Linked DNA regions of Yarrowia lipolytica. The protein of the gene in region 1 interacts with the protein of each later gene in a pairwise test. Links are inferred from orthologs where the notes say so. Each region holds a gene or a part of one and is shown in the gene's direction. Other genes may lie near its edges. The genes, in order: YALI1_B30146g, YALI1_C00739g and YALI1_F27929g.

Region 1 (7,151 bases):
GAAAGACCCGACTCAAGTACAATTTGAATGGAAAGACCGTAATGACCACATTGGCAGTCATTCTGGCTGCTCGATGGGTGCAGACTGGAGGAGCTATGCCCGAACTTGTGTTCTGCTACGACCACTACGTCCAGATTGCCACGTCTGCCATTGTGTGGTCCTTTATTGTTGCCACTTACGTCTACGTGGCCTCTTTTACTCACGACTGCATTCTGTCTGTTGGAGGTAATTCTGGAAACCCCATTTTCGACTGGTTCATTGGCCGAGAGCTTAACCCCCGAATCGGCTCCTTTGACATCAAGTACTTTTGCGAGATGCGGCCTGGTCTGCTTCTGTGGGCTGTGCTCAATCTTGCAATGGCTCACCATGAGTACATCACCAAGGGCTTTGTGTCTCTCCCCATGGCACTTGTTGTTCTGATGGAGATCTATTATGTAGTAGAGGGAAACTGGGAGGAGTATGGAGCCATCCACATGATGGATATCACCACTGATGGATTCGGGTTCATGCTGGCCTTTGGAGATCTTGCTTGGGTCCCCTTTGTGTACACCGTTCAGGCCCGATACCTGTCTACCCGAACGATTGAGTACCCTCTATGGTATGCTGGTATCATTGTGACTCTTTTTGCTACCGGATACTACATTTTCCGAGCCTCAAACAATGAGAAGAATGCGTTCAAGCACGGAGACGCTCCTCACCTGAGGTACATTGAGAACGACAAGGGCAACAAGCTCATCGTCAGTGGCTGGTGGGGTGCAGCTCGACATGTCAATTACCTAGGAGACTGGCTCATTTCTTGGGCCTGGTGTCTTGCCACTGGTTACGAGAGCATCTTCCCTTACTTCTTTGTGGCCTACTTTGGAGTGCTGCTGGTCCATCGAGAGATGCGAGATGACCACAAGTGTGCTCTGAAGTACAAGGAGCTCTGGGTTCAATACAAGAAGGCTGTTCCCAGCGCTATCATCCCAGGCATCTACTAAAATCTGTACAAAGGTGTATAAATAACTATTTAAATTATACTGATCTATTTGTGTGTTTCGTATGGTAGCGGTCTCTGGTACGTAGCATCAGATTGGGATAAATAGAACGTAGATGGATGGATTATATCAATCCAATCAATCAGGTCGCCCGTCTAAACCCACAGTTTTGTCACCTATTTCTTCCCCCTCATTTACTGCTCCTTCTTCTCGTCGACCGGCACATCCTCCAGAAAGGCCACGATGACGTAGCCAATGAGAACAACGTTGGCCACAAAGGCAGCCAGACCGCCGGAAATGAGAGTATTGTCAGTGAACATTTGGGCGGTGAAGAAACAGGTCAACGGTAAGAGGATCATGCATGCTGTGAAGAAGACAAGCTTGTTGAGAACGGATCTGTGTTAGTTGTTGCGACAGCCAAGTAGTCAATGCCACCCAATGCAGTGGTAGCAGATACTCACCTTGGGATGTCGGCCATTTTGTGATGTGTCTGTTGTTTTGCGTGATGTGTGTGTTCTGATGTTCGACGTCCAACTTACTGTATTGTAGCGTGGTGATGTGCGGGAGCCTGCCCTTAGTGAACCTTGATGCCAAAGCTAAATGAAAATGAGACGTGCGTGTCTAACATTGACACCCACACTGAACGCGATAATGAAGCCGAAATTGACGAAGAAGCGAAAAACGGTGCGAAGGAGCGCACTGAACAGACCTCTGGAGACCGATCAACGGCTCCAGGTTGCAACTATTCTCGAAGAAGCAACTTTCCCCATACTGGCAAGAGCTCACAGCGAACCTAAGAAGGTGCGGATATCAGAGGACCTGGGACACTTGCAACGACGTCTTTCGAGACGTCTCGACCGGTTCCCCGTGCCGAAGTCGCTCGGCAATAATTTCGACGCTTCACATCAATACACTCAGATGGAAAAGCTTGAAAACAGCGGAGCCAAGCTGGCACAGCAGATTGAAGCACTGCAGGAAGTGACGCGTCGCCGGACAAACGAGCTGGCCAGAACTATTGAACAGCACCAGAAACTGGCTCAAAAGAGTCTACAATTGGACAACCAGATTGAGGAACGAAGGGGGAACCTCCATGCACTTTTACAAGGCAGTGCGGAGAATGTGGCTGAGGAAAACGCAGCTATCAGCTATCGATACTGTGAGAGAGATATCGATAAGGAAGTGCTGGAGCCATTGGATCAAGATCTTACCAAAATTGTTGATATTTTAGACCATTCGAGAGTCCTAGAAGTGTCTGCGAAGGTGGATGAATTCTTGTGAAGGACTGCGAGTTCCAGTGAACACATCCTTGCCCACCAACGTACTGTAGCTACAGTACAAGTACTCACACAGTACATCCGGTATTTGTAGAGAAATTATTTATTGAATTATTTATTAGAAATGTTATCAAACTAATTGCTATACAATACTACTTCATGCTGCAATGTAGACGAACATACCCGATGAGTGACATCAGACCTACCGATCTGTATGGACTGTACAAATAGTCATGGGCACGTGACTGGTAGTGTGCCAGCCCCAATAATGTAGCCTTCATCTGGTCCATTGGTCTTAGAAACTCGTTCTTTTGAGGTCAATTGGAACCACCTGCCACGCAGAATGTATGCGAGATATATAATGGAATGATATGAACTCTTATGTTGCGTTGGCTGTGTGAAACTCCCGCGTTCCTTATCCCTTGAGAGTGTATACAGTAGACATGATGATAGCTACTGTATTGACAACGGTTGATTAAATTAAGGATCTGTGGGATAGGTAAGGTCAGGGTTCTGGGGTCTTTGTGCTTGCCAAACTAAGAGCGGATTAAGCCTGTATATTCCGTGCAAAAAGGTGTGTGCCCATATTTCTTGCCTAACGCAGGAAAAACTCGTGGACTTGTATCAGAATTGAGACCACATTAGCGGTACTCGTACAGCTACAGTACTGTACGTACAAGTACAGTATGTGCAATACGTATGTAGTCTGTGTCTGTATTTCACACTCCAAAAAGCGACTACTTGTAGATTCGGGCTAGGTTCACGGGAATCGAATAATATGACCTCAGGTGGGTGTTCCCGCTGTGTAGTTGTAATTGAGGGGCCCCCGTTACGGCCCATATATATATTTCGCATAAAATTGAACCTCGTTTCATGTGTGCACTGTTGTGTGTTGCCCCACTGCATGCGTCACATCAACATCACGTACGTAGTACAGTAAATAGTCCCAGCGAGGGGGGCGCATTTGAGTTTCCAATCTTCCACATCACCACTCTAAGGAAGCATCGGCGTGTGCAGCCATACGAGATGGCAGAGATCAAGAAGAACCAAAGCGGAAGCCGCCAGCGCAAGTCCGTGGGAGGGGACCGCTCTGACCGCTCCGATCGCTTGGACCGGTCCGACCGAGACCGGGGCGATAAGAAGACGGCCAACAAGTGGAAGCGACCTGAGCCCAGCCCCACTCACGCTCGCCACATGCACGACCGACTGCTGTTTTTGCTAGCCAAGTCCGTGGGTGAACACGTTACCGTTACCACCGCCTCCGGCGACTCTATCCACGGCTTGCTGGAGGGAGCCTGCACTGAGGGCGACTTGGGAGTCAGCATGCGGTTTGCTGACTCGGGGGCCAAGCAGCTGGTTTTCCAGCCCGAAGACATTGTCGACGTGGCTGTGGCTCTATCCGCGCCCTTACAGGTCGACCAGCGCAAGTTCCGAACCGACACAGACATCAGTGGCCGGCGGGCAGTGGCTGAGCGAGAATTGGAGCGATGGACTCCGGATGCCGACTCCGCCACCTCTGCTCTGACACTCGAGGAATCGGGCACGGGCTCCTGGGACCAGTTTGCAGTCAACGCCGACCGATTTGGAGTGCCCTCCACCTACGATGAACACCTCTACACCACCCGTATCAACACGGAAGGTCCCGACTACCAGGCCAAGATGCGACGGGCCCAGCGATTGGCAGACGAGATTGAGGGCCAGACTGGAGGAAACGCGCATCAGCGAGAGGAGCGAGGAGACACGGTGGATGACTCGGGCATGGACGAGGAAGACAAGTACTCGGGAGTGGACCGAACTAAGACCTATGTTCCTCCTTCTCAGCGAGCCGAGCTGCCCCATGACCCGGCCATCATTTCTGCCGGAGGACTCAGGAAGCCAAACCCCACATCTTCCCAGCCGGACATCATGTCGAGACTGGAGCAGAAACTGGTGGACTCGGCTGCAGTGCCCAAGCGCAACCGAATCCCCGGACTGCCTCTCAACGACCCCTCTGCAACAGCCGCTCCCTCGGCCTCCAAGAAACCCGGATTCGAGAAGGAGCTGGCGTCCCGATACCAAAAGTTCATTGACTTAGAGCGAAACCGAATGGTGTCGCAGAAGGAGGCTGCCAAAACTCACCATGATACCGCCCGGCTCAACGACCTGCGCAAGTTCTCACAGGATTACAAGATCAATACCCCTGTTCCCGAGGACTTGCGTCCCATCCTGGCCAAGGACAAGTCTCGAGACGTTTCCGAGACCACTTCCCCCGAGGCGGCCAATGCACATCTGGACCGAGTGGCTTCGCCCATGTTCGACTCACTGTCCTCCAAGCTCTCGTCCATCCAGATGAGCCGGGAGGCCGACAAGAGCTCCGAAAAGTCGTCTTCACCAGCTGCCGCTGACAAGAATGGTGGAACAGCTGCTGACAACAAGCCTGAACCCGTGGCTAAGTCGTCGCCATCAAAACCCAAGTTCAAGATGAACTTCAAGGCGCCCGAATTCAAGCCCTTCACTCCCAAGGACACCAACGCCCAGCTGGCGACAGCAGCCGCTCCCGAGCCCAGCTCTCCAGCTTTCTTTTCTTCTACGCCAAAGACGGACCGGGCGCCTCTCAGCACCTTGTTCAACCCCTTCAAGAAACCCAAGGCCGAAAACACCCCCTTCCCTCGAGCATTTGAGACCCACCCGACCTGGCACACCGTGGAAGCGGCAGCAGACTCCTCTGTTCTTTTCCCTCCCTTAGAGCAACTGACCATGCAGCGCCCCTTCCTTCACAACGCCATGTCTCCCCAGCGGGGCGGAGCCGTGATGATGCCGTTCTACCAGATGCCTCAGGGAGTACCGCCCATGATGTATCAGTATGGCCCCCAATTTGTGCAGCAACCTTTTGGACCTCCTGGTTACCGAGTTCCCATGCCTCCTGGACAGCCCCCTCAGGGCTACATGCGATACCAGGGTTAGTATGTAGTGAAATAAAGAAAAATGAGTCGATATATGATTACACAAAACTAGTGGTATTTGAATGCTGAACAGAATAGCAGGCTCTGTATGCCCAGAATTTCTTCCAGAAATGCTTCCACTGTGTTTATATGCTCCCCTTGTTCGCCTTCAGTGTGTACAAGTAGGCTTGAGAAGCGTGCATGCTAGATGCGTCCACCAACCTACTGTACTTACATTTCTTCATATGAAGTGAAAGCTACACATACACACCACTATGAATTGGGAAAAGGGTCCCGTCTGTGGCATCGACAATTGTCCCTCGGACTTGTGGCGGTCGGCTGCTGGTCGTACCTTCTGCAGATACGGTCATCAGCGCCAAGACGAGTATGAATACGACAATCAAGACGAAGGAGACCTGGGTGGAGGACGAAAGGTGACTATAGGTTCGGTGAGTGCCATGAAAGATGGAGAGAAGGAGGAGCAACGATGGTTTGGTTCACGGGTCTATGCGCTTCGTGCACAAATCTTCCAGGAGGTGCTTCGCTTTTACACACACTGGGCCATGCAGAAATTCGATTTGGATACCGACTTCGAGGAGGTGGTGAAGGAACTGTGGAGTGTCTTGATCAAGTATACCGACTTCGGACGATCGTCTTACGACCTGGAGGGTGGAGTGCATTCCGAGCCATGCGATACAGGTACAAGCACTCCACTGCTACTCTCTCAGAAAATGGCCATTGAAATCATGTATTTGGCTCTCGTTCAAGTCGGCTATCCTATTTCATTCATTAAGATACTGGGATGGATCATGTCGGGGGAACTGCCATATGATGATGTGGGTGCAAGGTTCACTTCAAAAGAAGCACGTCTGCATATGTCGGGCTCGCGTTCCTGGTGTGCCTGGAAGAAACCACCATCCAGCCAAAGTTTCGGGCGCGGAGTTCTTGCATGTGCTAAGGCACTGGCAAGGGAAGGCGTCATAATCTCACAGCCAAAGATAATCCCAATCATGCACACCGTGGAGGTTCTGATGCTTCCGTTGGGCATCATAGATCGAACCATATGCCTTGCAAAGGGATGTGATATTGATGAGTACTGCGACATGTCGACATCCGGAGGGTTTAGTAGTTTTATGGAAACTGCGAGTTTTGTAATAACCGCGGCCAGAATCGCCTATTACAAGTCGTGGCAGAGTTACGACGAGGATATCAAATCTCCATACTGGAAGCTTTGGTCGGAATTGGCTGAGATCTACTTTCAAGACCCCCTCTACACTGACGAAGTGGACATCCCGGCTTGGACTGACGAAAGATACAACGAGTTTCTTGACATATATCACCGGTCACTCATGATGAATATTGAACGCGAGCCTATTCCTGTTCAATGGAAGCGTGTCAACGACATGTTCCCTCTTCATACCCCATCGGAAGAGCCCCTGGTGACTCCCACGGACCTTGCGACGATTTTGAACGAACAAGTAGTTCCGTTACCAGGGCCAGCGCCAAAAGAAATAGAATCTTTTAAGACGACCCATAAAGAACTCTTTCTCCAGGGACCTCCTTTATACATGGCTGTCTTAGAAAGTGCAGCCAAGGCACACAATATGTCAATGCGCTTGGTTCTCAAAGCAGTTCGGGAGACTGAATCTATGGCTTGGAACAATCTACGACAGAAATTGAACAAGAAGAGGAGGAAAGAGAGGATGGCCACCCGACTACAGGAGTGTCAGAAGCTAGAGAATGAGAAAAAATCATTTACCTAGCATTGCATTGCCACGACCTGTTAAAAGACAAGATGACCCACAGATAGCGATGTGATATTGCAGCAATTTCAATTTATTCTTATTTAACGTCTTACAGTGTGCATATAGATAATTTTGTGCGTCTAGAACTATTGGTTGAGGTACTGCTCGTATCCAATGGTCTCGAGCTTGTCGGCCTTGGCAAGAACCTCCTTCTCCATGTTCTTGATGTACTCG
Region 2 (7,152 bases), on another chromosome or scaffold:
GAGAACGGGTTCTGCTTGTCGTCGGGATCGTCGTCCGTGTAGCTCGTGTAATCGTCCAAATACGAGTTGGACGAGTCGTTGTTGTGGGTGTACACGCGGTTGGTGGTGTTGTTTTTGTTGCTGCTGCTGCGCTCGTCGCGTTTGCTGGGCACGTTGAGCCGCTCCTCGTCCCAGTTGTAGCTCAGCGCCGGTGAGTTCTGGGGGTCCCGCGTGTACCCTGGAGGGTTACCGCCAATAGGATGCTCATGGGGATGTGTGTGGGTGTGCGCCTTGTTGGGCTTGGACACGGACGAGTCCGAATTGTCCTCCGAGTTGTTGAACGATATGTGCGTGGGCATCTGTGTTAGGCCTGTTCAGCAAGTGCCGTGGTACGTGTTGTGAGCGTCTTGGATTTTTTTCGGATACGGTTCGGATTTGCGTGCACACCAAGCTCCGGTATGCATCTGACAGTTTGGCGGAATGTGTCTTTTGGAACCGGTCTTGTTACCCAGAACCAGGTGGCAATTTAGACACGGGCGAGCGGATTACACGGGTTATTCTTCAGTGGCAAATGTCTCTCAATTTCCATTCCATTCCGTGGTGCCTCTTCATTGCCACCAGTAAAGAGCTCTCAGCTGCATTTCGGAGATAAACGCTCAGTTGTTCATACTCCTCCCATAGAGGGCGCGGACGACGCGGAATTCCTGACATCCAACCCTCTCACCGAGTCGGTCTGTCTCCATATTGCCACCCTCCTGCCGCTCAGTATCTCTCTCGGGCATAAAGCCGCAAGACGGGGGCCTCGAGGGCCAGGTATCCTGCCATACTCACTGTAATCCGTAGCACGTTTCAAGGGCGTCTCAAAGATGACGGCTGTGTAGTCTGCGGTCGGGCTCAAGCTGCGAAATGGCCCGGTGGAAAAGAAACAATCGTGGTGTGAAAAGAGAAAGTCTGAGCTATACTGGGTCTCTGTCGGCGTTGTCTGTTCAGCCGGAGTGCACTAACTCTCATATACTCTTAATACCGCGCACCAGCCACCTGACTCTGAACTCTACCACATAGTGAAGTCCGAGAGGGCATTCCGGCCTAACTATTTGAGTTTATCAGTGGTAAAATTTTTGTTGGAGCTAAATAGAGGTATTTGGGACTGTCGGAGGGGTTTGGGGGGCACCGGTAAATACTGATTTTGACAGTGGTTTTAGACGTCAGGACAATGGGGACATGGCTAGCACCACATTTCTCGGCATCCAAACGCCCATGTTCCACCTACAAGACGCTCTCGGATCCTCGCATTCGCGCCATAAGGAGCCAGTGTGCTTCCAGCTGCCATGCAGTGTTCCATGCGCTACACGTGGCGGCTTTGTCCTGGCATCTTTAGGGGTATATATCACGGAGATAGCATGCAACTTTACCAATCATATTTTGGCGGATGCATTGACTGCCGAAGATCTGATAGCTAGTCTCCAAGTAGCTAGCCGTGGCCCTGGGGGGAATCGGTAGAGGCGACATGACCCGCCTACCGCAATAGCAACTAGTCAGAACATGTTATATTGCTATACAAACCTTGCTATGATGCTTACTCACAGCGTTTACCCCTCGGCTCTGCTTCCGCCCCGACCCCTAGCCCTCGGTTAGACTGCTGGCTCAGAAAATGAGCCCCTTCCTTGGCTCTACCTTTGACCGTTGTTGGATCTGCCTCTGCCGTTGGCATTACGTCATGCAGACAAGCAGTTAGTCAACCTGTGGGCGGTGAGATCATACGTACCCGTGCAAGTACAGTAGTGAGAGTCCACGGCTGAAAGGTACGATTTTGGCCTGTGTGGGATGCGTTTGTGGCAATGGAATCTGACTAAGCCAACGAGCCTGAGGTACAGTACGAGTATCAGTTCTTGTATCGTCCGTTCCACAGTGCTACTGCTTGCGGAAACTTCAATTACGAACATTCCATGGGGCGATTTAGACGCTCCCCGGGCCATGAACACAGCCCCAAAACTGACGAAACGAGGCAAATGTGTCTCTTGTTCCTCGTTCTGTTTTCCTGATGAGCCGCACTCAGACCCTACAACCTGTAACACGACCGTTTCAACCGTTTCATCGGAAGCTGCACATTTCAACTCATCCGCATGCAGCCTAACATGGTTTTACGAGACGAGAATGCAGTGCTCGACACGCGTCTGCCGCGCTCGCGCGCAGTGAGTTAATTTGCCCTGGACTTGACAGAGTGGGAAGTCGACATCAGCAAAGGGAATGCAATCTCGCCGAAGAGAGATAAAAATAGATGATGCAGGGTGAGTGGAGTACCGTACGTGTAGGAGCACTCACTCAGATGGCGGAGAAGGGGAGATTGATCTGATAACTTTGTGACACCTCTTCAGGGTCTACCTCCTGTCGTTTCCGCTGGCACTAACCAACGTCATGATTCTTTCAGCTGTCAGAAACCAAAAGAAAGTAGCTCGTCTGATCCGTCAGAGTCTGCAAATGACAAACTCATCTAAGCCAATACTGTACCGTATCGCACCGACGAGTATCGTACATTACTGCGCTTTTCCATAGCCCTCCTCTTTACTTGCATCTACTTGTAGTATTTAGCCTACAGTACAGTAGAGTTCAATACAGGAACGTCCTTGTGTGTGAGGTCCTCAGACTTCCATAAATAGACCCACGATCTTTCCACATTCCACCCATCTCACCCAACTACAACGTACTCTGCGTACTCTACAAATAAAATTGCTCTGTACGATGCTAAATTTAGAACCATTTTGACGATTGGCAACTGCAGTAACATCACAACAATGACCCTCGTCGTAGATACCCGTATGTAGTGCTGTCTCAATTCATTCCAACAGAATCAGACGCAGAACTGAAATCGAGACTGTGGAGATTCCAAGAGCAACCAAGAGCCCAATGGTACAGCAGCAATTTAAAGATTCATAATTCTAGCCAAAATTAGTTCCCTTTTGTCTTGGTAGCCCTTTATCTACCCCACAGTCTTATCATAAGCTGCTACTGTAGAACGTGAGTGTTGTTTTATAGGGTGGACCTTTGGTGTCCAGATCAGGAAACCAAGGGTTAGGGTGTAAATCCGCATTTTTCACCATGGATTGGGGCTAATTTACAATTTTTAAAAATTATCAGCGATGTGGCGCAGCGGAAGCGCGCAGGGCTCATAACCCTGATGTCCCCGGATCGAAACCGGGCATCGCTATTTGTTTTTTGGATTACCCAACTTACGCTGTACGTGAGTGTACATACTGCATGTGTTACTGCAGCATGCATCAAATTTTTTTTTTGGCGTCGTCTGTGTGGGCCCCAAAGTTTTCACTTGTAAGCCTCCAGTTACCCGGCACGTAACCTCACCACTATAGAATGGTAGTTAAAACTCAGGAGACTTTGGAAGTGGAGAGAGACGATTTCAGCGTTCAGGATTGAAGGGGACGTTGCCACCAACGAACACTGTCCACTAAAACACCGCTAGAGTGTTGGATCCGCCCATTGGCCATACTGTTACGGCTACATTGGAGTTGTGGCCCATCACGTGCTTTCCCAATACGGCCATAAAGCTTAAAATTGTTACATGAAGATTTTTCCCAAGGCCATTTTTTTCTGCTTTCTGCAGGTGACGTTCTACATATCCCACAACACAACCATCTTCGACAAACGACCACTCGTTGTTGACGACCTCCAAAACCCCAAAAAAAGACAGACAACAATAGATCACCCCCCGCTCGGTATCTATTAGTCTCATAAAATCCAAAAAGCAAAAAAAAATCCAACTTTCTCGCCCCCCGCGCTTTTGTGTCTCTTAACCACAAAGCCACCCTTTTTTTTCTTAGGAAGTATTCGCTTACGTTTCCTAGTTTAATTTCTGTTCTCAACAATGTCTGCTGACGCTTCTCTTGTTGCTGCCGAGAAGGCTCTCGAGAAGATGACCCTCGAGAACAAGGCCGAGGCCTCCCCTGCCACCAAGGAGGAGACCACCACTGAGGCTGCCCCCGCTGAGGGAGAGGCCAAGACTGAGTCCTCCGAGGAGAAGGGCTCCAAGGAGGACCAGGGCGACAACGCCTCCCTCTACGTCGGAGAGCTTGATCCCTCCGTTACCGAGGCCATGCTGTTTGAGATCTTCAACCCCATTGGCCCCGTTACCTCCGTCCGAGTGTGCCGAGACGCCATCACCCGACGATCTCTTGGATACGCCTACGTCAACTTCCACAACCAGGCTGACGGTATCCGAGCTCTTGAGGAGCTCAACTACTCCCCCATCAAGGAGCGACCCTGCCGAATCATGTGGTCTCAGCGAGACCCTGCTCTGCGAAAGACCGGAGCCGGCAACATCTACATCAAGAACCTGGACCCTGCCATTGACAACAAGGCTCTGCACGACACCTTCTCTGCCTTTGGCCAGATTCTGTCCTGCAAGATTGCCACCGATGAGTTTGGCAACTCTCGAGGTTTCGGATTCGTCCACTACGAGTCTGCCGAGTCTGCCGAGTCTGCCATCCAGCACGTCAACGGTATGCTTCTGAACGACAAGAAGGTCTTCGTTGGTCCCCACGTCCCCAAGTCTGATCGAATGCAGTCTTTCGAGGAGCAGAAGAACTCCTTCACCAACGTGTTCATCAAGAACCTTGGTACCGAGATCACCGAGGCTGAGTTTGAGGAGCTCGTCAACAAGTTCGGAGAGACCTCCTCTGTCCACCTCTCCACCAATGACGAGGGCAAGCCCACCGGTTTTGGTTTCGTCGACTACAAGGAGCACGACGTTGCCGTCAAGGCCATCGACGGTCTGTCCGAGACTGAGTTCAAGGGAAACAAGCTCTTCGCCGGCCGAGCCAAGAAGAAGTATGAGCGAGCCGACGAGCTCCGAAAGCAGTACGAGGCCTCTCGACTTGAGAAGCTCAACAAGTACCAGGGCGTCAACCTGTACATCAAGAACCTCGATGACACCATTGACGACGACAAGCTGCGAGCCGAGTTTGCCCCCCACGGAACCATCACCTCTGCTAAGGTCATGGTTGACGAGGCTGGTAAGTCCAAGGGCTTCGGTTTCGTCTGCTACTCCTCTCCCGAGGAGGCCACCAAGGCTGTCACTGAGATGAACCACCGACTTGTTGCCGGCAAGCCTCTGTACGTTGTCCTTGCCCAGCGAAAGGACGTCCGACGATCTCAGCTCCAGCAGCAGATCCAGGCCAAGAACCAGATGCGACTCCAGCAGCAGGCTGCCGCTGGTGGTCTCCCCGGCCAGTACATGGGCAACCCCGGTGTCTTCTACCCCGGCCAGCCCGGCTTCATGCCTCCTGGACGAGGTGGAATGCCTTTTGGTGCTAACCCCCAGATGATGATGCGACCCCCCATGCCTCCCCAGAACCAGTTCCCTCCCCGAGGTGTTCCCGGTGGCCCCAACATGTACGGCGCTCCTCCTCAGGGCTACCAGCAGGGTGGTTTCCCTCCCCAGGGCCCCATGCGAGGCGGCCAGCCTCCCCGATCCGGCCAGCCCGGTCCCCAGGGTCAGTTCCGAGGTGCTCCCCGACGAAAGGACGGTGAGTCCCGAGTTGCCGACTCCATTTCTAACGCTCTTGAGAACGCTCCTGAGGAGCAGCACAAGCAGCTCGTTGGTGAGGCTCTGTACCCCAAGGTTCTCGCTGAGAAGGCCATTGATGGTAACGCCGAGTTTGCCGGTAAGATCACCGGTATGCTGCTCGAGATGCCCATCAAGGAGATTCTCGAGGTCATTGACGACGAGGAGGGTCTCCAGGCTCAGATCAACGACGCCATCACCGCCTACAACGAGTACCTCAACTCTCAGAAGGAGGAGTAATTGTGTAATAAAATGTGTGGATTATGTGATAAGGATAAGCCAAGTAGTGAGCCAAAACCCGAGCAGTACCACTTGCATAGCAGTGAGTATGTACTTGTAGATGAATTATAGAGAGTCATGATTGAGGCCATTGGTAATTGGTTTGTAACTAACGTTGTTGTTGGTCAATTGGAAATATGTTACCACCAATGGATTCACAGTGCGCATGTTGCAATACTAAAGTGGTCTGGGAATTGCGATACAGTTGATTCTGGGAGTGTTCAACGACGACAAAGGTGCTGCGATATAGTGTGCATACGTATGTATAGTATTGTAGTCGCAGCAGTATTCTCAATATCACTAATCTCAACTAAAGATTTCAACGGGGGAAATGGTGCAATTCTCTCAAATCACGAATATATCCCTGTTCGACACCAAGACCAAATCAACATGGGCTTTGGGTGTAGAGTAGATCATGAAAGACGGTGTACATAAGGCAGTCGTCCAATACTGTACTAGTACAATGGCTCATCAAAGGACTATCGAGTCGGAAACTCATATCATAAATTAATATATACATCTGTTGTGAAAGCGGTTGTGGTCATTTCTTCCTGTCGCTCAAGGTGGTCACTTCTTTTCATCGGACTGAACGAGGAACGAAGTAATACTATCTGCCTCTTGCTGCCGGATCTCTTCGGCTCGCTCCTGTATGAGCTGTTTCTTTGATTTAAGAGGAGTGGCATCCACAAACTTGATCGAAAAGCCCTTGGGTTTCTCCTCGGGTTCAATTTTCTCCACCTGGGTTAGTTGATACTGAGAGTGGTAAGCGTAAAGCTAGCATGACGACCAGGATAGGTTTCCAAAGGTCAATCCCACGAGAACAAATGAACTCCATGAGCTGATTCACCAACTTTCGCTGCAACAACTGTCTGTGTTGCCACACTGGGGTCAAGGCTTCGGTCGTCTCCTTACCACTACAATCGGAAAGTAATGTCCAGAAGTTCTGTCTAGCATCCCTTGATTTTCTTGGAGTCTTGATTTTTCTTGGAAGTCCTTGATCTGCCGCAGAAAGTCCTTGGTCATTAGCTCTCGGGCTGCGCCCTCAGCTACCTCCTACTGTCATACTCACCAGAACATAATTCTTGTTCATAAGCCACACTCCCCAGACGGCCCCGAAAGTGAGTCCTATCGACAGAGCAACGAATCTGCTGTTGAAAGTGGCGCCTGTTTTTGGGATCTTGGTGATCATTGTGGTTGTGCGGGATAGTGTCTACTTTTTTTCGCCTCGCCTGTGGCTTGCATTTCATATCGTATAGTAGGGTTAGGGCTGTCTCTCCCAATATCACGGTTATCTCAACCACTGTGCGTACATTGTTAGC
Region 3 (6,524 bases), on another chromosome or scaffold:
AGTTTCCCGCCGATCAGCTTTACGTCACTACGATACCAACCTCTTCTCTTGTTCTGGCCCCACTGCCCACTAATCCCATCATCTCCACCAAAACACCCCATTAAGCTCTTATCTACCTCCACTATATGCCTGTCGCCGAGACTGATCGACACGGCCAGCGGACATCAGACATGCTTGTAGTCTGGAGACCTACATTTCGGTAATGACTTGTAGACTTTCCAAAAGAAGTCGCTTTCTCTCCACCACCACCTCCCGAGCTACCATCTCCTCACCATTCCACTTACAAAACAACATCAATGACAATGCTTACTATATGATTTATTTTGGAAACGTCCACTCTATGCACCAAACAACATGCTTCTCTCCTCTCCTCAGAGTCTTCTCTTCACCCTTCTACTGCACGCTCATGGCCCAGGCCTTCATGTCAACCTGCTTGGCCCGAGACGTGATGATAAAGGCATCGTTGATGAGCTGCTGAGGGGAAGGACGCTCGGCCTCCTTATACAGACACCGGTCGACAAACCGTCTGCACACGGGCGAGAACCTGGTGTCTTCTGCCGGCAGGGTTGGCGGAGGTTCGTTGACGATTCGCTGCAGCAGATCAAGAATACCCATGGGTCCCACAGCTCCGTTAGCCATGTCAAAGGGGAACTTTCCCAGCAGCAACTCCAGCAGCGAGATGCCAAGCGACCACACGTCGGACTTGACAGTGTAGTTTCCTCCCTGGATTCGTTCGGGTGACATGTACGTTGAGGTGCCAACAAAGGTGTCTGCGATGGAGTTGATGAGCTCGCCAGACACTCCAAAGTCGCACAGCTTGATCTGGCCATGGGAGTTGACGAGAATGTTGGACGGCTTGACGTCTCTGTGGACGATGCGGTGCTCGTTGTATAGATACGTTAGGCCCTCGACGACGGCCACGGTGATATGGCCGACAATCTCTTCGGTCAGCGGGCCGGCCTTCTTGTAGATGCGGTCCAGTGAGCCGCAGTCCATAAACTCCATGCACATGACCACGTCGCCGGACGACTCGTTGATGAAGGCGCCGTAGAAGGAGACAATGTAGGGCGAGTCGCACTCGTGCATAATGTGCAGCTCCCGCAAAATCTGGCGTCGCACGGCCTCCTTTGCCTCGATATGGATCACCTTCTTGGCCATGACGGCACCAGTGGGGATGTGTTCCACCCGGGAGACGGACCCGCCGTTGCCTGCGCCCAGCTCCTGTATGGTGCGCAGATCCTGAGCCCGGATGTCGATTTTGAACTCCACGCCCAGCTCCAGCGATGCCATTTGGCTTATCAGGTTGCCTGCTGAGGGCGCTCTCTGGAGCGTGGGTTTGTCGAGGGTGAAGGGCTGTGATGGCGGAGGGGAAGCTGTTGCCTGGGGCGCCACTCCGGCGTCGGCGTTGAGTGACAGCTTCTTGAAGTTTTTGCGCTTCAGCGTCTTGGGTTTGAGGTCGACAGACATGTTCACACGATGGACAATGTACCGTTTTTATCGGTCTATTGTCTGGCAGGTTGAAGGTTGTGGTTTTACCGTACGTTGGGAGAGACGCTACGCGTTGGCGATGCGCTTGGTGCAGACCTTGGCCGAATGGGGAAGTGGTTGTGGATGGATGGGGTGTGGGTGCAAAAGGCTACAAGTAGGGGGGTTGGGGCATGTGGCTTGATATATATATATCGGAGTTAATTATTTTGTGCAAGTTGCCAGGTGGCCGGGACAAATGGGGCAACGACGATCTCTGAACACAAGAGTCCACACACATCTGTATCGTTCCGGCACCAGTAGCTACTCTGCCATCGCTCAGCTCATGCCACTACGATACTTATACTTGGAGCTAACCTTGATTGAAAATGGGAGGGCAATTTCCGAGGTAATACCACCCACGTACAGTATGTACTCTTGACGCCGTGACCTTGGCCCACATTCGAGCTGCACTGCACTGCCTGAACCGGACGAGAGAGTCCAAATGGGCCGTCGTTATGGTTGGGTATGAGACTTGGAACACTGGAAGCAGTGTTTCGATGTGTTTGGTGGGAGGTATCAGCGTTCTGTTGTCGATGTGGATCAGTGATACTAAAGTAATCACACTTGTACTTTTAGCTTAGATGGGTGACAAAATGGTGATTTCTAGCGCGTACAAGTATCGCGATGTACTTCTCTCTGCTAGCTGATGAAGAGACAGCATCTGTGACCACTGTACCGACAGTATCTGCGACTACAAGTATCTGTTCAGCACACATGCTCGTACCGTACAAGTACACCTTTCTATACCTTCGATGAGGTTCGCGTGGATAATTTAATGGAAGTATATCTGTTTTGCTGAAGGGGGAAATGGGCTGCGTGTGTGGGAGCAATATTACATACATCTGACTGTTCAGACGTTGGACGAGACAGTCATAATATGTGCCCCATTACAGGTTGAGGTGAAGCGCGTGTATGGGGGAAAACCAGCGGATGATCGTCCCATCTTCGTCATTTCACTCGTTTACACTACAAGTGATATCTTCACTCATTCTCTGCTCTGCTCCTCTCCAAGCCACCGTCGTGCCCAGACAAAGTTCGTCAACCGGGTAAGTGGCGAGCTGTAATAGGTGTGCAGGTGAGGATAGAGACAGAAAAGGGTTACGACAGCAAAAAAACAGAGGGAGCCAGCAAAATGACAAACGTGGAAAAGAGAGATAACAAAAAAAGGACCTCTTTATATAACTACGTAGCAAACCAACACCACATTCTCCATGTCAAGGTGGCCTGGAGTCCTCCTCCCCACGGTCACGGACACTCCAACTTACCCTTCCCAATGAATCCACACCCCAGTAAAGTTTTCAATACACCCACAACCAGCCGACAATCTCTTCTTTCTCCCCTACCTCCAATACAGCCAACTGTTTTATTGCCATCCATCACAGAACACCAGAACACAAACATATCTGGAGTTTTCTAATCGACAATTGACACCTACACTGTTCCATCGCAGGTCCCTACTTCTGAGTTTCCGGATATCCATACTTCCCGTTTGCCCACGACACGCACCACGACACCGCACCACCCCACATTTTACACAAAAACATGTCTGAGTGGAAAGAGTCGTTAAACGTGCCCAAAAAGGACACGCGTCACAAAACCGAAGATGTGACCGCCACAAAGGGTACAGGGTTCGAGGACTTTTTCCTCAAACGAGAGCTGCTCATGGGCATCTTTGAAGCAGGATTCGAAAACCCCTCGCCCATTCAGGAAGAGGCGATCCCCATTGCCCTCGCAGGCCGAGATATTCTGGCCCGAGCCAAGAACGGAACCGGCAAGACCGCCGCGTTTGTGATCCCAGCCCTCCAGCAGGTCAACCCCAAAGTTAACAAGATCCAGGCGCTTATCATGGTGCCCACCCGAGAGCTGGCACTCCAGACCTCACAGGTTTGCAAGACCCTAGGCAAGCATCTTGGCATCAAGGTCATGGTCACCACCGGTGGCACCAACCTCAGAGACGACATTATGCGTCTGGAAGACACGGTACACGTGTTGGTCGGCACTCCCGGCCGAGTGCTGGATCTAGCAGGAAAGGGCGTCGCTGATCTCAGCGAGTCGCCCATGTTTATTATGGACGAGGCCGACAAGTTGCTGTCGCCGGACTTCACACCCATCATCGAGCAGGTGCTCCATTTCTTCCCTGAGGACCGTCAGATCCTGCTCTTCTCCGCCACCTTCCCTCTGACTGTCAAGGCCTTTATGGACCGAAACCTGCACAAGCCTTACGAAATCAACCTGATGGACGAGCTGACCCTAAGAGGTATCACGCAGTACTACGCCTTTGTCGACGAGAAACAGAAGCTGCATTGTCTCAACACGCTCTTTTCTAAGCTCGACATCAACCAGTCCATCATTTTCTGCAACTCCACTGTGCGAGTTGAGCTACTTGCCCGAAAGATCACTGAGCTGGGATACTCATGTTACTACTCCCACGCCAAGATGATCCAGAGCCATCGAAACCGAGTCTTCCATGAGTTCCGAAACGGCACGTGCCGAAACCTCGTCTGTTCCGATTTGCTTACCCGAGGTATCGATATCCAGGCCGTCAACGTGGTCATCAACTTTGACTTCCCTAAGAACGCCGAGACCTATCTCCATCGAATTGGTCGATCTGGACGATTTGGCCATCTCGGTATTGCCATCAACCTCATTAACTGGAACGACCGATACAACCTGTACAAGATTGAGCAGGAACTTGGAACTGAGATCAAGCCCATCCCTGCCCAGATCGACAAGAACCTCTACGTTGCCGAGTCCAGCGAGAACATCCCCCGACCCTTCCCCATTGCTGATATGCCTCGAGGCAAGGAGAGTAAGCGAAACGAGCAATTCCAGCCCCAGCAGAACCAGAACCAGCAGCAGCAACAGGACGGTCAAAACCAGCACTCTCTGGGTCCCGTACCTCCCCAGGGTCCTCCTCAGGGCATTCCCGGCCCCGGATACGGCTACCCTCCTCCTCAGGGCTTCCCTCAGGGAATGCCTCCTCAGGGAATGCCTCCTCAGGGAGCCGGCGGCTACATGCCCCCTACTCCCTATGGTTACCAGCAGCAGGGCTTCCCTCCTCAGCCGCCACAGGGCTTCAACAATGGCCAGCCCCAGCAGCCGTCGCAGTAAGAACGCGAGCCTGAAAAAAGCGATTACAATCTTCCTTTGGTTTTTTGTGTACGGTTTTTGTGGGTTATCTTTCCCACTTTCCGCCATATTTTTCCAACCCTTTTTTTTTGACCTTTTTTTCGTCTCTGGGGTATATAGCAATATGATATTCTAGTTGGTGACTGATGAAACGTTGTACTGTAGCTACAAGTGTGGTTCAGTCGAATGCCGTGGGTACCCGAACATGTATAAGTAAGATCATGGCTCTGGTACGGCTACTGTAAAAGTCTATCTCCAGAAATGCATGAAATGTATCCTGGGCCACTGCGAGAAGCATGGGACCCGAGTAGACCGTGTGCGCGAGATCTATTGCAGGTGCAGCCAATACGTGAGTCACGGTCGCTCTGTAGAGTGTAGATTGGTTTTGTATCTTTGGTGTAAGCCGCTTACCAGGATGCTACAAGTAGGGTAGTCTTGTGTCAGATCAAAATGTGTGGCTGCTCTGTGCCAAAAATTTGACTACTAAGCTTTTGGGATTGGGTATGACTTATTGGCCATCATTCGTGAGTGAAGCATTTTTACTGTCTGGGGACACTGCAGAGCTATGCAGAATTAGTAGTGGAGAATGCCTACTGGTGCTGTTGCGGGCATTAGGGGGGATGAGGTACGATGTAGGGATAGGTCCGGGCAGGGACTTGCATTAATTGGTCTACAATGTAGGGCGTCGAATCTGGGTAAAAACACACCGAGTATGTGTACGTACATGCCCATGGCCATTGGTGCCTATGGACCCGAGTTACTGACAACGGGTGTCTGTTGCAAAGTGTGAAGCTTAAAAAATATTTTTAATTCGAAAATGGTATCGACGTGCTAAAAGCTCTTTCTACTAACGTCCAGTGTTCACCACCCCACCCACAACACCCCCCCACATCACCCACACACAATCATGAGCCTTCGAATTCTGCTGGTTGGCAACGGTGGCCGAGAGCACGCCCTTGCATGGAAGCTGGCTCAGTCTCCTCTGGTGGAGCGAATCTTTGTTGCCCCCGGAAACGGAGGAACCGACAACCCCCAGGGAAAGATCGAGAACATTGCGATTGGCTCTTCCCAGAAGGACTTCGCCAAGCTCGTCGAGTTTGCCCAGTCCAAGGATGTTGGTCTCGTCATTCCCGGTCCCGAACAGCCTCTGGTCGAGGGAATTGAGACCCACTTCCGAAAGGTTGGTATCCCCGTCTTTGGCCCTTCTGAGAAGGCTGCCGTCATGGAGGGCTCCAAGACTTTCTCCAAGGACTTCATGAAGAAGCACAACATCCCCACCGCCGCGTTTGAGAACTTCACTGACTACAACAAGGCCGTGGACTACGTCAAGAAGGTGGGCCACCGAGTCGTAATCAAGGCTTCTGGTCTGGCTGCAGGCAAGGGCGTGCTCATTCCCACCTCCACCGAGGAGGCCATTGCCGCCGTCAAGGAGGTTATGCAGGACAAGGCCTTTGGCGAGGCTGGTGACGAGGTTGTCATCGAGGAGTTCCTCGAGGGAGACGAGCTCTCCATTCTGGCTTTCTCCGACGGTTACACTGTCGTTGACATGCCCCCCGCCCAGGACCACAAGCGAATTGGCGATGGCGACCAGGGACTTAACACCGGCGGAATGGGTGCTTACTGCCCTGCTCCCATCGGTACCCCTGCTCTTCTCCAGGAGATCAAGGAGTCCATTCTCCAGCCCACCATTGACGGTATGCGACGAGACGGTATCCCCTTTGTCGGTATGCTCTTCACTGGAATCATGCTGACTCCCGACGGAAAGCCTAAGGTGCTCGAATACAATGTCCGGTTCGGTGACCCTGAGACCCAGACCATTCTGCCTCTGCTTTCGGACGATACCGATCTGGCCGAAGTCATGCTTGCCT

The links.
Region 2: the proteins of YALI1_B30146g (region 1) and YALI1_C00739g interact in a two-hybrid assay, tested with the Saccharomyces cerevisiae proteins (2 studies listed by BioGRID). The link is inferred for Yarrowia lipolytica from reciprocal best matches to the Saccharomyces cerevisiae genes PBP1 and PAB1.
Region 3: the proteins of YALI1_B30146g (region 1) and YALI1_F27929g interact in a two-hybrid assay, tested with the Saccharomyces cerevisiae proteins (2 studies listed by BioGRID, with this or other methods). The link is inferred for Yarrowia lipolytica from reciprocal best matches to the Saccharomyces cerevisiae genes PBP1 and DHH1.

What each region holds. Positions count from the first base shown.
Region 1 is NC_090771.1:3,010,643-3,017,793, reverse strand, and holds YALI1_B30146g (uncharacterized protein), read left to right. Parts: upstream 1-3,124; coding exon 3,125-5,194; downstream 5,195-7,151. Other genes in the region: YALI1_B30181g (uncharacterized protein), read left to right, coding at 1-980; YALI1_B30163g (uncharacterized protein), read right to left, coding at 1,172-1,373, 1,439-1,455; YALI1_B30162g (uncharacterized protein), read left to right, coding at 1,578-2,255; YALI1_B30123g (uncharacterized protein), read left to right, coding at 5,448-6,935; YALI1_B30090g (uncharacterized protein), read right to left, coding at 7,064-7,151. UniProt on the Saccharomyces cerevisiae protein: Involved in pre-mRNA polyadenylation. May act to repress the ability of PAB1 to negatively regulate polyadenylation. Negative regulator of poly(A) nuclease (PAN) activity.
Region 2 is NC_090772.1:70,118-77,269, forward strand, and holds YALI1_C00739g (uncharacterized protein), read left to right. Parts: upstream 1-3,856; coding exon 3,857-5,794; downstream 5,795-7,152. Other genes in the region: YALI1_C00694g (uncharacterized protein), read right to left, coding at 1-338; YALI1_C00710g (uncharacterized protein), read right to left, coding at 644-940, 985-990; YALI1_C00766g (uncharacterized protein), read right to left, coding at 6,401-6,571, 6,903-7,022. UniProt on the Saccharomyces cerevisiae protein: Binds the poly(A) tail of mRNA. Appears to be an important mediator of the multiple roles of the poly(A) tail in mRNA biogenesis, stability and translation.
Region 3 is NC_090775.1:2,789,476-2,795,999, reverse strand, and holds YALI1_F27929g (uncharacterized protein), read left to right. Parts: upstream 1-3,069; coding exon 3,070-4,638; downstream 4,639-6,524. Other genes in the region: YALI1_F27945g (uncharacterized protein), read right to left, coding at 394-1,467; YALI1_F27904g (uncharacterized protein), read left to right, coding at 5,564-6,524. UniProt on the Saccharomyces cerevisiae protein: ATP-dependent RNA helicase involved in mRNA turnover, and more specifically in mRNA decapping by activating the decapping enzyme DCP1.